3 linked regions of the Drosophila melanogaster genome follow. The protein of the gene in region 2 interacts with the protein of the main gene of each other region in a pairwise test. Each region holds a gene or a part of one and is shown on either strand. Other genes may lie near its edges. The genes, in order: CG32369, CG10494 and CG5681.

Region 1 (5,773 bases), on a different chromosome or scaffold from region 2:
TTTTTTTTTTTTTTTGGTTAGATTAGACAGATAATACACTTTCAAACGAACGAGTTACTGGCAATAGAAGATAAGAGATAGAAAATTTGAAATAAAGTGGGATTATTATGAGGGTCAATAAATCGTCAGCATGAAACTCAAAAATATAGAAATTAATTGGATAATATCTACTTAATGTTTCAGTCAGTTGGAGCTGATCACGACGTGACCTTAAGTCCTCACTCACATTTAAGTTCCCTGTATATTGTACTTGAAATTCACGAATTCGCCCTGCAGAAATTTCCCTTTCGAAAGCAATTTACTGATATCGATATTGTAGCACTCGAGAGAACTCACTTTCTGATCATTTTAAGCAAAACAGCGCAATCTCCGCCTCGGAAACGAAACCATATAAGCAGTATATATAAATAGAGAGGTAACGAACGAGATTGAGATAGGGAGCTCCAACTTTCATATCAGCTGGCATTGTGAAACATTGTATTGGACAAGGGAAAAGTTGGTAAACAAGCCAGAAGGCACTCGATTCTAATTGTTCCTGTTGCCGCTCGGCTTTGCGTAAGTAAAAATTATGTATACGCCTCATATAACTGCACGTGCATCCTGGTGCAATCGTGGTTGCAGTTCCGTGTACGTAAAGTCCTATTGCATAATCCGTATCCGATAAATTGTTCCTAAGTGAATAACAAATATGTGAAGCCCGGCTACCTGAACACGCCCTCAGGGCAATAGCTTATAGCGTAGATTGCTTTATTTTTCACAATATTATGCAATGTCAATCGTAGATACAAACAACCGTTGTCCGTCGTCACTCAGACAAAATGGCAGCGTTGACATATAATATGTGTATATAGCTACATTTACAACGGCGTTTGTCAGTATTCTAAGTCAACTGAATTCAGGCATTGTTTGCCTTAAGTCCGATAAGTGATTGTAGGCGCGCAGTGATTGAAGTCGATAAAGGAACTTACAGCACTAAATGTGATAAACTCATTGAGCGATTGTTGAAATAATTACTATTTGCTTGCTTGTAAAGAACTGATTGAAAACGACAGTTGTTCTGTATCAACTATGAAATTGCTATCTTATGAAAATGAGTCAACAAATGATTCATCTTCATGAACATTCATGTACCCAAATACGATATGAGCAACAGCTCAGGTGTGGAAATTCCTACAAAGTTGTTTAAGTCTTTCACCAATTTCCTAAAATCCCAAGAACTTCTGATAGAGTTCTTTAATCGCCAAGTAATCACGCCACATAAGCCAATAAATTGCATAACCAAGTGATTATGCTCCGATGGTAGTTTTCGACGTAATTATGAAATCGCATACATTTTCATTGCCTTAATGTTGGCGTTTATTTGGTTTTGTACATTTTGATTTCTTCTTTGATATTTGTTTTATTGGTTTCTCATTTGTCTTGCCGTTTTTTGCTTGGCTCACACGTTTTATGACATTGTATTCGAATGGACGACAATGACGACGGCGATAAACGCTGATATAAATAGCTCAAAATAACTACAAAAGAAACTGGGCTGAAGAATTTATTGAGGCAAGCCAATTAGCAACCAAAAATTTCTACATAGTTTGTGATTTTTCAGGTTTTCGGTTTTGATTTCACACCGATTACACAAGAACCCCCACATTCGCTGTGACTAATTGGCCCGGTCCCTTTGGGCCTTACATAAGTTCGGTGTAGTGTTTGACTTGGTTTATATAACAACGATCCAGCTGTTTGAAGTCTGGCTTCCTCGATATTCGACTCTGAGTCATGACGAACCTTTTTCGCCCGATGACGTATGCAAATAGGTTTTTCCTCTTTTCGAGCTAACCATATTTTTTCAGCATTTCCCCAACCCCTTTGGCGTTTTTCGTTTTGGGCCAAGTGGGCGAACTGTGTTGTTGCGGCTTGTTCATTGGCAGCAAACGTCGCATAATACTCGTAGTACATTGCGTGTCGTAACGCTAAACGTCAACCGAGTGAGAGGGGCATATGCGGTCGAGGGGGGGAGAGGGAAGGAGCCCAGTTTCTCGCTTTGGTAGCTGACGAATATTGGGTGGTGACCCCGACAAATTGGCGAATCTTTAGTAGATTATCGGGGATTGGAAACTGTTAACCAGAGAATTACGAAAGCGATGACAACGCGACAGATTCAAGGAAAATGAATGAAATGAAAATGAAAAAAACTGACGTTTTTTTTTACCAGTTATATTTTATATACTTTAACTTTGTATATAAAATTTGTGTCAACTATAATTTAACGAGGTTGAATTGTTTATTTTCTTAATTTTACTTCTTTTAAAATTCCCAAATCGTTCTTTCCACCATTTGTTTTTTGCTTATCTGAGCTAATTTATCGCGAAATCGTTAAGATATATATTTTTCCACGGAAGTTTTATCACACATTAAATATAAATGATTATCAAGTGCAGGCCGAATTCAATTGGCCACAGAACGTCAACAAAGCAGCGCGGAAAAAACGCTTAGTAATGCCTTTAAAAATATGGCAACACGTAAGAGCCGCCCCTGCAGTTTTCCCTCCGCTAGACTCAAGCAGTGCACTTTTTGTTTTCACAATCATTGCAGATAGCAAATGAAAAACTGTTTTCCCCGACAAAGAGCGAAAAACTAAGAGAGAGACTTGAATGTGCCAATCTTTGAAAACGCAACTTTGTCGAGCGTTCATTCACATTGAAAACAGAGGCATAGCATGTGGTTTGATGTCGTAACACACACAAAGAGAACCCGAAAGAGTGGCAAAGAGAGCGCAGAAATGGAATTACCTGTCGCTGTTGAACCGCGCCTCCTTGTTTTTCCCCAAAAAAGGGTAGGTTTTTCGCGGGGGGTGCGGCGTGTACTGTTGCTCAAGAATCACACACAGACACACACACTAACACACGAAATTCTCCCTCTTCTTCTTGCAATTTATTTAAAATTTTGTTGTTGTATTTAGTTGTATATATTTTTGTTTGCCAAAAATTTATAGCCACACGCGTGCGAAAAAATCGAATTGGGGAATCTATTCACTCGTGTTATGTGTTGTTTGATATTTATATATATTTTTTTTTTTGTTTTGTAAGAACTTGGAACGGCGCTTGTCCGTCGGCTTTACGTAACCCCGCCGCACACACGGGTTAACTTTTTTTCTTTCTTTCTCGTAAAGGGTGTGCGGCAATTTGGGGGGGGCTGCACTTGGACCCCCTTTTTATATTTTGTGACTAATTTATTTATTTCATTTATTCACACCGAGAAACACGCGAGCGAGCACCTTTATTTTATTTTATTTATTTCTTTGATTACGTTGGCGTTTGTTTTGTAATACGCTTACGTTACGCGACGAGACAGAAAGAGAGAGAGCGAACGCACTGGGCGAAAGAAATAGCGACAACAGCAGCAACGGCGGCAACGTGTTCGAGTGGCTCGGCGATGATTTGCTTATGGGGTGCGCTCCACTTTGTTGCTTTTTTATTTGCCTTTTTTATTATTCATACTTTTTTTTTGTATAATTTTTATTATTTTGCTTTTTGTATTTGTATTACGGCCTGGTTTTTTTTTTCAAACTCTCCCTGCTGTCTGAACTTGCCACGGCCGCTGTTCAACAGCGAATGACTGCTGTGAAAAGTCAGTCGTTGGCTTGGAGCGAAAAATTGGCGCTCTCTTTTGGGGTCGACTCTCTTACGCCTCCGTGGATGTGTCTGTTGCGTCATCGATGTCTGTGCCTTGAGCTCTCTTTGTTTAGCACTTCTCTCTCTGGCATTTTATTTTTTTTTTTAATTTTTGCCGGCAAACCGTCAACTGTCACAACAGGCGACGCCAAGAAAAATGATGGGGCAGCGGGGGCTGCGGTGGGTGATTTGCAAAACTATTGGGTTGGGGGATAGTGGGTGGTGTTGGGGGTGCTAGTTTGCCAGTGGGCGTCATTTATCGTATGATGCGCATTTCCGGCGCCACTCAACAGACTACAGCCATATAAACACCAAGCAAACATCAATAATCACAACAGATACGGTCGATTTTCTGTTACTTAAACTAAATTACATATATAAAATTTTGTAATTTTGTTTAATACGCAAATATAGTTTTTAGATTATGTAAAATAGAATAAAAGCTTACTCAAATAACTTATAAAATTAATAACGAAATTTGTATAACAAAATACACAATAGATTAAACTGTGAAAATATAAGTTGATTAATTCTCAGACATGTCATTACAAGATGTATTAATTTTATAATCCTTAAACAGGTTTTGAAGCTATAGATTTCCTATCCCGATAGAGCTCAGAGTTGTTAAAGTTCGTCTGTAATATCGAATATCTGCGTTTCGTAAGTGTTGTGTGGCTATTACATATTGTTTTGTCATTTAACGCAAATTACGTATACGACGCGTTGACCTCATTTGGGTTGATCAACAAATGCAGTTGTCGACAAACTTGGCTTATAACAACCGCGTATCGCTTCCCCTCCCCCTACTTCCCGTCTTTCTCTTTTGGCTCCGCTTGGCTTGTATTTCAAGCTCAAGTTCAACGTTGTCTGTTAGCGGTTGCCTGCATACTACCAGTTTTCATGCTGCTGCTGCTGCTGCTGCTGCTGCGTTTCCATTAACATTTTGAGTGGCCGTTGTTGTTAACTCATTTTTCGCTTTCGTAAGTCTTGGACAGTATAAAAATATGCGGGGCGGGCGAGTGGAGTCCGCTTATGTTTGAGCATTGCTCGCATTTATTGCAACATTTCCCCATAGGGAAGTAATCGAATTGCTTTGCCTCAGGTCTGGGTCTGGTTTAAGCCTGCATTCAAAAAAAAAACAAAGCTTGAAAGTTTACAGATTAAAACATATTAAAATTAACAAAATTTATTCTAATATATATTTTCAAATTTCTGAGTTGTAGAATCTCAATAATCTTTAATTGTTTAGCAATTAACGTTATTTTAGTAGTACCATATATTTTAATACCATGTACAATTATATAATTAAATTTTGACTGTGTACCGGTTATACAGCTCCCATTTCTCAAATAGTTGGCGCTGCTTTTGTTGTTCATCAACGGAAATTAGCTGCGAGTTTCATGTTTGAAATGTTTATTTTGTAAGCAATATATGAGGAAATTAGTTTCAGTTTTTTTTTTTTGCTTTATTATGTTTTTTGCATAATAGTGTATATCACCGATTTGGGCTTTGGTTCAGCTGAATTTGAAATAGGTGTGTGAAGCTGACAAACAAATTATTTATTTTTTTTCGTTGTTTTAGTGAATGTTAATTGAAGTCGGGCGAGTTTCGTTTGTTGCCAAGTGGAAGTGAGAATTTGTCTTATGATTGGAATCCATGGAAGTTTTTCCACAGATTAAATGTTGAATGGTATACATTGTTTTAGAATGCGCATTTTATCCGAACTTGAAGTTCGTCATTTCAGTTCTTGAGTTTCCGGCAGCTTTATTTAGCGACATGTCAACTGCACCCAACAGTTTTAACAGCTTATCTCATATCCAGTTACCATTTTCAGATCCTCTCTCCACTCACCAATTATGCAATCAACTTGACCTCCAGTTACTCAAAACTGTGTATTCCAGCTGCTTTGAAGGCCAACCACTCTGTTTTGACAATGCTGCCCCGAAGTTGGCTATTCGTTCAGAGGAAAAAACTCGCCTAATGGTATACCACAAAATCCACAGAAAAATGAAACAGTTTTTATCATTTTTTTTTTTGCATTTATCGTTTCAAAATTTGTATCTAAACCTTTATTGTTTGTTCTTTCTTGCAGTTTTCGTAAAACATAA
Region 2 (5,322 bases):
GGGAGACGGCCATCAATTGCACCAGCAGCAACTCCAACACCACCGCCGGCCAGGGGGACAATAATAATGCGGATGGTCGCAGCGTCGACGGGGACGACCAGGATCTGGAGAACGGAAACGGATGTGCCGGCGGCAACGGAACAGGAACCGGTAATGGCAACCGAGCCTACGTGACCACGGACACATCGGGCACGCTTTACTACGGCACCCAGAGCAACAAGATACGCATCACAGAGAACCCACTGCCCGAGCCGGTCAGCTCTTAGATTGTTACTGCAGAGTCCACATAATCTCCAAAAGACACCTTGTTATTGTTGTTACCACACACTGAGAAAAAATAATGCAGCAGCAGCAGCCAAGTCAAGCCAAGCTTTCAGCCGTGCTCCAAGAGACACAAAGCCACAGAAACTCAAAGAATAAAAAATATTATGAAATACAAGCAACTCACACACCGCTAGGAAATGAATGCGAATGCAATAATTAACCACCAAATGAGAACCCATTGATTGATTGATTGATTGATTGGTTGATTGATTGATTGTGTTTCCCTATGGTTTTCGAGATGCGGAGAGATATTTGTAATTTACACTTTGTGCCTGAGCGTAACGTAACGAACATACACGTATATATATCAAGCCAGATCGGTTCAGATCAGCAACAGCAGTTTAGTTTTCTATGCCCAATTGATTACATTGTTTTTTTTTTTGGAGTGCAACACATATTTTATGACGAGCTTGCTTAGTTGTTGTAAACCGAACAATATACAAAATATATACATATGTGTATACAGATGACACAAGCAGAACAAAAACTAAAAACTAACGAGCATTTTCGCTTAATGTTAAAACCTAAAACGAATCCAACTGTTAACTTAATCCCAAAAAATAACAATGTAGCATATCAAATAAAAAACGAAAAATCTCTCAAAATTACGTATATACTTATACAAAACCCTAGATAAATCGTAGACAATTGCGAATTGCGAGTAACTTCAAACCAACATTCTGTTCACAATGAATGAGGAATAAATTCTAGACACAGGACACTGTCACAAAAACAGGATACACACACACACACGATATTGAATATAGAATACATACATATAATATATATAAATAATGACAACTTTTTGCAATAACTTCGAATTCAATTCAATAAAAGTTTTAGAAGCTTGAGTTCTATGTTTCCATTACTTCGGTTGCAGCATTTCGCTGATCCTGCGCAGGGTCTCCTCTCGATCTCGATGCATCAGTTCCGATACTTGTTCCAAAAATTGATGCTGCTGCTCGCGTTGCTGCCGCAAGAAGCTTTCGTTGGTAGTTTTGATCTGCGCAAGCAGCTGCTTTTGACCTTCTATGATTGCAGTGAGTGCTTCAATCGGCGTTGGTTCAGCCTCCATCTCGATGGCGTCCACGTAGTCCTCGCTATCGGCTGCCGCTCTTAGGAGATCGCAGGTGGAGCTGGAGTTGTCGCTGTCACTTTCCAGCGGAACGCTTGGTTTGCCTGGCGGCTTGAGAAAGGAAGGCTTGCTGATGCGAATGAGCCTGCTGATGGCACTTTCTCTGTTCTCCCGCGGCGCCTGAATCAGTTCATCGAAAAGCTCAAAGTGGCGAGGCAGAATGCGTACATTATCTAGCCCGTGCTCCTTGGCCTCTCGATGACGCTTGCAGAGCAGCCTTAGTTTATTGCGCAGCTGGTGTGGCGTGCGTTTGATGTCCTGCTTAGCCAGGATGTTGGAAATGTGCACCAGGGTCTGGAAGTTGCGCTTCCTTGAGCCATCCAAGGCGCGAAAGAAACCATTGTCCCGAATGATGAGTAGAAACGAATCAACCTCTTCGTCTGTCCAAAAGTGCGCTAAGGAACATAGGAATTTAATTAAATATGGAATAGGAACTAGCTATTATAATATCTACCTCCGCTTCTCTGTGATGCATCACCCTCTTCCTCGTCACTGTCATTGAAATCACTATCGCTTGCGCTGCTCAGATGGGCTTCCGCTTCAGCATCTGCGGCCGCCTCCTCTTCGGTGGGATCCAGGACCAGTCGCATCGCCTCAAAATGCTCGAACGTTTTCCCCGTGCCGTTCTTGACCTTGTTGTACAATCGCCGCAGCTGCTGGAACTTGATGCGCAGCTTCTCAGCACCCTTGTGGCAGTTGCGTTTTGCCATCTCCTTGGACAGCAGCTTGAAGACCTTGGCATTGCGCTTTTGCAGCAAAGCTGCTCGCAGTCCAAGTGTGTGGATCAGGTCTAGGAGGAGGTCCACTTCGCCCTCTGCCCACTTGCAGCGGGCGACGATGTTAACTGAAGATCCTGAGGCATCCAAAGCATCTGCGAAGGAAAGTCGCCTAAGTTCGTATTCCAATACATTCCTGCCCGGTGGCACCTACCGTCCCCTTCGGTTTCTGAGATCATGCCGGACTGGTCCTCGTCGGCCTCCATATCGCTGTCACTCTCTAGCGCCTCTTCATCCAGATCAGATACATCTTCTCCCTGCATCAACTCGTGCACCGCCTCAAAGTGCTCGAATGGTTCGCCGCCATTCCGAGCTCTCGCATACTGACGCCGCATCTGATGGAACTTGACTCTCAGATGCTTTGGACTCTTGGGGCAGTTCCGCCGGGCCATTTCTCTGGACACCATACGAAACACCTTTGCATTGCTTCGCGGCCTTCGAAGAGCAGCTTGCAGTTTAAGTTGGTGAATGATTTCCAGAAAGGTCTCCACCTTTGCGCTGGTCCACTTGCAGCGACTCGCTTTCCCAGAACTATTTTCCGACACCGAGTGACTCGCATTTCCCAGATCTGTTACGAAAAGTAAGGATTTGGTAACATCGAACCGGCTGAGGACGCTGCTTACCCACTCATAAGGTGTGCGTATTTCTGCTCCGTTTCGTGCTCGTCCTCATCGTTGCCATTGAAGAGCGAGAACTTGCTCATTTTCAAATGGTTATGCTTAAATCGCGCAATGAAATCAATAAATATATATTTATATTTGATCGGTTTTTTTTTAGCTTGATCAAATCATAACAATAACAAAACTGTCATCGATAGTAGGACGCGTTAAGCTACCTATCGTTATCGGCATCGATGCGGCCGTACCATACATTCTGCTCGAATGTATGTTTCATGTAAGGAATATGTATGTTAAATGTAGAAATAGCCTACAATCTGAAAAAAAAAACCAAAACCAACAAGAAACTATGATATTGATAGCCAAAATATATACGCTAAAACATTATATTGTTATTAAGCAACATATTTTGATCTCATTCAAAGTCGTCTGAATGGTTTTGAATAACATCCAATATCCAGTCCGTAAAGTGTGTGACATTGGTGTAAATTCCCAAGCCACTGCACAACCGAAGTCCTTGGCTAGCGACACCGAACTGGAAGACCCTTCCCTGCCCCTCAAATGTACGAATTGCGCTCAAAGGACCTCCCGAATCGCCTTTGCACGAATCACTGATATAACTGCCGGCACATATATAGGATATATCGAGAGGTCTTCCAGGTCTTTCACAACTCCATTGAGGTAATTGTTGCAGGGTGGCAGTCTGTAGCCTATCTTGCTCTTCTCCATCACTATTTGTACCCCATCCGGTGAAATTGAAGCGTAATATTGAGAGTGGGTTCCCACCCAACGTTTTGCCCAGAATCAAGCAGATTGGTCTGACATAGTCTATGGCGAACTTTAGTTAGTTACATATTTAGTTCCCAAGAAACTTTTGATAGCGAAATGCACTTACTTGAGAATATCACACTCCTTTGCATTCGCAACAGACCAATATCATATCCTGGATTACTATGAACAATTTTCCTATCCACGTCCACATTGTAGGCCCTTGGTGTGCAGACAAAATCATCGCAGTCGAATATGGGATGTCGGGTATCGTATTCGCCCAGGCGCACATTCCTTAAAAAAGGTCATTTTGAGGATCAAATGTGTAGTAATAGTATGGTATGCACTCACATATACATTGGGGAAATGCAATGCTCGGCGGTCAAAACAAATCCTAAATGAACATACAATGATAATTTGAGTATATATTTCTTATTATCAATTCCAAATACTTACGAGCAGTTATAAGTGAACCGCCACACACTGCTTTTCCCGAAATCATTACTCTGACCATCCAGGGATTCGATTCCATGCCAGCATCTCTACCTCCATCGATTCGCGCTCTATAACCATTACTGCTCGTGGTTCCACAGTCGTTTTCCAGTAAGCGTCCGGATTCCGTCCGGATAATCCCAATAAAAAGACAGGCTACTATCACAAGCTGCCGTATAGGTAGACGCATCTTGTTCAGAGACTAAATTCGAATGGCATCGGTTTCTATTTTTATGCTTGTTCTTCGGCAAACGGCAGAGATAAGAAGTGATTTATTCAGAAAAAATACTAATACAATTTTTACAATCGATTTGAATGTGACATCGTTTATTTTCAATTAATGACAAGATTTTTTTTTTTTAATTAAATCTCTTGAACTTTAATATATTTCGAACTTCGATGCGTTGCCCTGCCATTTTGTCGAATATTAATTAATTTTCATATACAATTCTGTTATACATTAGTTCTATATTCCTTATTATGTCTGTTATGTTACAAGTTTGGCCTACGAGCTTGGATAACCAAAAGGTAGTATGACCTGTAGGTTTGAATTGAACCATTTTATTAAATATCCATTCCCTGTGGTACGATACATTGGTGTAAACACCTGCCACATTAGCCGCGCACCTTTCGGATCCGTAGCTGACCAAGCCGTACTGGAAACTCAGAAGCCTGTTGCCATAATGAAATTTCGAGCTCAATGGGCCTCCAGAATCGCCCTTACAGGTGTTACTGGTATGACTGCCAGCACATATCTGCGATCGATCAGCCTGTTTGTTGAACTTAATGTTACAGTATGATATATCCATGTTATATAGAGTGGCATTCAGTAGGATCCGACTGAATTGACCATATTCTGTTTCACCCCAGCCGGTAACCGTAAACATTGGAATGCTTTGCATTTGCTCGCCGACAAGAAGGCAAATTGGCCTAACATAATCTATAACGAAAAACATAAAGCTTTAGTCATCCACGTGAGATAAAACCCCTCTATTTACCTGAGTACTCCACAGCTTCGGACATACGAAGCAATGCTATATCATTCTGGAGAGTGATGCCATTATAATTTTCGTGAACAATTTTCATATCCACACTAATGTTGTAGAACTTTGGTATACAGTGATTGTTAAGGCAGTATGGCATGGGATCTAGTGTTTCGTAATCACCCAAGCGCACATACAGATCTTCAAAGGATACGCAGTGCGCTGCT
Region 3 (5,477 bases), on a different chromosome or scaffold from region 2:
AAAAGTATATCAATGGACCAGATATTAATTAATCGAAATAATCGAAAAATAAATGAAAGTAAAGAGGTCTTTGTTGTTTTTAAAAAATGATTTTGTTTGTTATGCCACCAGTTTCCAACAAATCGTATCTTCGTATCTTATGAAACTTAATTTTTTTTAAAACTCCTGAGACCTCGAAAATCCCAGAGTCATCCATTAACCAAATTGTTGGGGTAATCAATTTTAATGTTCGACCTGACCGTAGGACCACAAAACGCTCAACTGTGTGCTCAAATGTGTGCGGCCTGTCAAAGGTTAAAGGCGTTTTGTTGTATTGCCAAATTTGCTCTTGACCAACGGCAATGGCGACAAAAGTGGGTGGACCCCTATGAAGACCACATTGTCAATCAGGAATTCCTTAAACACAGCAATGCTCCGCACCGTTTATCCCCTTCCTCAGCGATTCTCTGGTTTATTTGCCAAAGTCGAAATGGCAAACACTTGGTCTAGTCCTCCGAATTGGGTTTGTATTTGGGTTTGGGACTGCCCACCTGATCCAAGCCGGCTGCTGTGTCGAAATTTATGTATTGCAGTTGACTTATTGGGGTCACAACATCCCACTTCGGACCCCGACCTCACCGAACTGGGCTGATTCGCTTTGATTTGGCCAGAATGCCCCTCAGCTGGCCAACCGTGTGTGTCGAAGCTGCGTTTTGTATTCGGTTTTGGCCAGCTCCGGGGGAAGTACCCTGTTTAATGAGAGCTAATTATGTTTAATTATTCATTTGGGACGGTGACATTTTGGACTTGGAGAGAAGGACCTATTCTTTCTCAGCATGTGGCAGCAGAAGAAATACAAACAAATTCAATCAATTAGGTAAAACACTTGGAAAATATAATTTTTTTAAATTATATTTATTGAAGAATTATTTGTTGTGACGCATATATTGAATATTTGGTAGTTTTCATAATATTCATTTCATCCAAAAGAAAAATATAACGTTTAATAATATTAATCTTCTAAAATAATCTATGTATAACGAATTTTAAGAAATATTAGTGTTATAATTTACAATATTATAAAAGCATCATTATGGGGATTGTACAAAATTATAAATTTATAAAGAATATAAGCATATTGATTTCTACTTCCGTAACGGAATGGTCATTATATTATTTCATATTTTGCCCCGAGGTTTTGTTTTTGGTTATTATAGATTTCATATCATCAGTCGCAGATAAATCAAAAGAATTATCGAAATTTGTAACATCATGGCACACGTGGATTGTAATCATCGCTAAAGGTGTATCCGAAGTACAGGATTTTTTTTTCTGTCCCGGACTCAATTTCTATTTTAATGGTACTACTATTTTCATTTTTAGAAATACTCTTTGGTGGGCTTTCTGTACAGTTTTTCTCATTCACAGTGTTTCCAAATGTATAGTCTGGTAAAGCGTCGGGATTATCTTTTATAATTGTATCCCCTGCACCATGATTAGTTTTCATATTATTTTTAATAAATGGAGTTTTTTTTTTTAATGACTTGCGCTCAGATCAACATGGTCCTAAAATGTTTCTCATCTTTCCTTTGTTTTCGTTGAAGTCAAATGAAATATTCTTAAAAGGAGGACAGGAAACCAAGTCATTTTCACATTTTGACTTGGACATCCGTTCAGAGGATTCATTATGTTTCATCATTTTTTCTGGTGCAGCTTTCATACCTCCACTCGTGTATTGATCTAGACATTCCTTTAAATCAAACTCTAATGATTGGGTCCCATGTAAATCTTTCGGAAATTGGAATCGACGTTTAATGCTATTGGAATTTTGCTCTGAATTGAGTTTATGGCCACCTGATTCATTTTCTGTACTGATTTTAATAGGTTGTGTTCCAGATGTTTCATCTTCAGCTGCTACAGTGTTTTCTTTTCTCTCTAAATCAATACTAGAAATGGTTACCTTTTGTGCAGAATTTATAAAAAAATTTATATGAAGGGAATAATCCTGCCTATGGTTAATTTCATTGCTATCATTTGCATTCGATTCGATTTTATTTGTAATACTTTCGATCGAGTTAACTTGATCTGGAAATTTGTCAGCTAGGTGAATGTCACTTAATTTGCTAAGGTTCGATTGTTTTTCAGCTAATCCATTTTTAGTGCCACCGGTTTCATTTGCTTTATATTCAATCAGTTTGACTTTAATCTTTCTTATATCCATCAAATCGACCATCATCGGTTCTTTTTTGTTTGTATCTAGTGTAGGCAATTCGTTTTCCATACCTTTGATGTTATGTTTAGTGTGGTATTTATTTTTCGAAATATGTTTAGTAGGAGCGATCATTTTCGGAGAATTCCCAGTTCTTTGGTTGCTGGTTGGGTATTTGGCTGTCTCAGCTGTATTGTTTCCTTCTCCAAGTCTTTCCAAGAGCTCATCGATTTCTTTTCTAATACCATCAACTATTGTATCTGTCAAGACTTCAGAATTAAAGCTTATAAGCTTACTTAGCATATCAAGAACTTCATCTGTCAAGTTTTTTATTAAAGCACTGTCCTCTTCTGCTTTCAGCATAAATGCATTTAAGTCCGGTTCGCTATGATTCACAAGTTCCGCAAGGCCTTCACGTGCCTTTACCATATTACCATTCATTTCGGTCTGTCCCTCAGTTCCTATTGCGATTTGAGGTAGTGCTGTTTCCTTTTTGTTCAAATATTTTTGCGTCCAGAGAAGTATTTCTTGTTGAGAATTCACATAATACTGATCAAGGACGATTTTCTTTATTGATCCTTTTAGACCTGCAATATTCATCTGAATCCACTCCAAGGCGTCGGGCAATGTGAAGCTCATCAGGTGGCCGCTGTTTTTTATTTCTATGCACTTTGATTGGGTGGGCGTGTACGCGATAGTCAAAAAAATATCATTTTCGTCATTCCTGACATCAAAAGTTGTCTCGGCACTGTTGTCTTTCACCGTTTCTTTAACTTTTTCAATAGCCCTTTCCCAAAGCTTAATCTCGTTTTGTTCTTTTAAGTGGCTCTTTTCCATAATTTTCGCCCAGTCATCATAGTCCCTTTTCATATTTGCTATCTCGCTGTAGAGCTTCGAGACTTTATCTGCAGTGCTAGCACTTGACTCCTTTTCTGATTTCAAGGTTAGATTCATCTTATTCTGGCTGTAAAATACACTTTAAAATTCATTGGTATTGATATTTCTTACCAAATATACCTTTTTTTTCTCGAATTAAATATGTTCTGATAGGCTATAAATCTTGACTGAGCACTTCAACTTGCTTGTTAAACGTACAACTCAAATGCTTATCTGTTTGTTTTTTTTTTTTTGTATATGTTTGAAATTTGGAAAAAGGCCTACTTAACACTTATCGATAAGTATACAAACTTATCATCACGTATGAATTCCAATAGACAACTTGTGAAAAACTTCTGAACTTTAACATCTCCACCACGGTATCAGAAACTTGATAGTTTGCCCACCTTTAAATACGAGGTATGTTCCACAAGAACGCTCCAAAGTATGCGGCAACAATTCATCGCCAGAACAAGGCTTTTAATCAAGCCAAGGACTTAGCCTCGCTTACAGGCGAGTTTGTATGTAGCACATGAATGTTAACATCTTCCTGCACATATATGCGCTCTTCGGAGACAGAGGAAACATAATCACATGCGTAGCTGCCATTTCCGTTGCATATTTACAGGGGCCGTCTCCTTGGACCGCCCGATAATATATAACTGCGATTCGCAGGCTGTAAATTTTGACTTTCAATGAGAGCATGGAATTTGACATTTACTAATTGCCGGATTATACGGCTGAAGACCCTCGTGAAGATGCAAGGACTCGAAATGCATTCCTCAATCGAAAAACTCTCATTTGTGTAAACTGAATGGCAAACATCTCGCAAATGAAACGGGTTAAGCCGCTCTTCACTTTCCTGCCGAAGATAGTAGAGCCAGGAAACTCGACTTAGTTCTATTTCCGCTCGAGCGGAGGAAATACAGCATCTGTCATCGGCATATCGACGGCATTAATTAATCAACGTTATGCATGTCAATCAAGAAGTGTGCCAGCCATCTCTTTCTAATGCTCGCTGGCATTTTGCTCCTTTTTTCTTCCGACCAGAATATCACTTTCGCAAATTGAAGTTGCCTTTCCTGTTTCTCGATTTCTGTTGTTGCATGTGTGGCTGTTCATGGCAAGTCATGCATATTCATTGTTTACAGACGCACAAGCACCCACAAACATAAACAATCACTTGGCAATTTTACCTGATTTCTTTTCAAAAACATCGAACTCCACTCCACCCCAATTAGTTTCCAATTCTCTTTCCGGTTTATTTTCCATTGGATTTGGAATTGTTTGGGGGCGACGTATTTGGAAATCAGCTCAAATGCTCAAATATCTATTGCTTGCCATTTGTGCAATTAACCGAAAGTTTTTGAAAATGGAAAACTCGGAAATCAGAAAGTTTAAGATGGATTAATTCAATCTTATGGCAAGTATTTTGTGATTGATTTTTGAGTTTTGGCAAGACAGAACATTTTGAGTCATTCAAAACACTCACCATAATTTGAAACACCGTATAATTCTCCACAAGTATCAAAAGCTAACGCCTTTTTATTGGCAATTTGCCTACCACCAACAGATACACGTTCTCCTGCTTTCAATTTATATTTATTTATTACGTTGGACATTCATAAATTCGATGTTGTAGGGCCCATAACAATCATAATCTTCGATATAATTTCCACTTTATGGTTGCCCAGCTGCTAGGCGATAAAAATTTGCACATTGATATGCTTTTATGGTAGCAAACAATAAAATAAGGCAAGTAAACAAATAAACAATGTATGGAACATCAGAGAGCAATTTCAATGCAAAGAGCCTCAAGAAACACAAGCACATGCTAGGCATTCTTCCCATTTCCTTACTCGCTCGAATGCAAAAGCCTACAATGTGTTGACAGTCTATAGACAAAAGGTTGCTCGCAAAGGATGGCTAGAATAACTTGTAATTTGACAAAATCCATAAACCATAAATTCCTGGCCAAACCAGCACTTAAATTGCCACATCCGCCAAAGGAAATTCCTCCATTGTCTTTGTCAGTAGATTTGTGCCAAGTCCCGAAAAGAAAACTGTCTCGTAATCGCAGGCAATAAAAAAACAGAAACACATAAAATATTATCGAATACAGTAGAGCGAGTAGTTGGCAACCCTGGGAGCCGCATAAAAATCCCTCAAGACCATAAATCGCCATCAGCCAGAAACCATCACGACTATTAGGTTAAATCAACCCAAAGACACGAGCCGAAATCAGCATTGGGTAAATTTAGTGCCCACTTTTGGGTATTTATCATGCAATAGTCGTTCCCATTCAATGAAATGTCCAATTAAAGGGCTTGTTCTGTGATTTCTTATATGTAGCTTAAGCTCAAACGATCTGCAGATCATAAATTCGGAATGATCTTAACCACTCCTCATACCT

What was found.
Region 1: the proteins of CG10494 (region 2) and CG32369 interact in a two-hybrid assay, tested with the Drosophila melanogaster proteins (one large-scale study listed by BioGRID).
Region 3: the proteins of CG10494 (region 2) and CG5681 interact in a two-hybrid assay, tested with the Drosophila melanogaster proteins (one large-scale study listed by BioGRID).

Annotation. Positions count from the first base shown.
Region 1 is NT_037436.4:7,806,214-7,811,986, forward strand, and holds the start of CG32369 (uncharacterized protein), read right to left. Parts: upstream 3,613-5,773; 5' UTR 2,784-3,612; intron 1-2,783.
Region 2 is NT_033778.4:21,516,068-21,521,389, forward strand, and holds CG10494 (uncharacterized protein), read right to left. Parts: upstream 3,059-5,322; 5' UTR 2,939-3,058; coding exon 2,863-2,938; exon of another isoform or gene 2,859-2,862; intron 2,804-2,858; coding exon 2,390-2,803; intron 2,331-2,389; coding exon 1,914-2,330; intron 1,855-1,913; coding exon 1,190-1,854; 3' UTR 1,088-1,189; downstream 1-1,087. Other genes in the region: MESK2 (misexpression suppressor of KSR 2), read left to right, coding at 1-266; CG30288 (uncharacterized protein), read right to left, coding at 3,268-3,680, 3,748-3,914, 3,972-4,014, 4,077-4,302; CG30289 (uncharacterized protein), read right to left, coding at 4,544-5,052, 5,111-5,322.
Region 3 is NT_033779.5:17,984,193-17,989,669, reverse strand, and holds CG5681 (uncharacterized protein), read right to left. Parts: upstream 3,272-5,477; 5' UTR 3,206-3,271; intron 3,153-3,205; 5' UTR 3,143-3,152; coding exon 1,535-3,142; 3' UTR 1,051-1,534; downstream 1-1,050.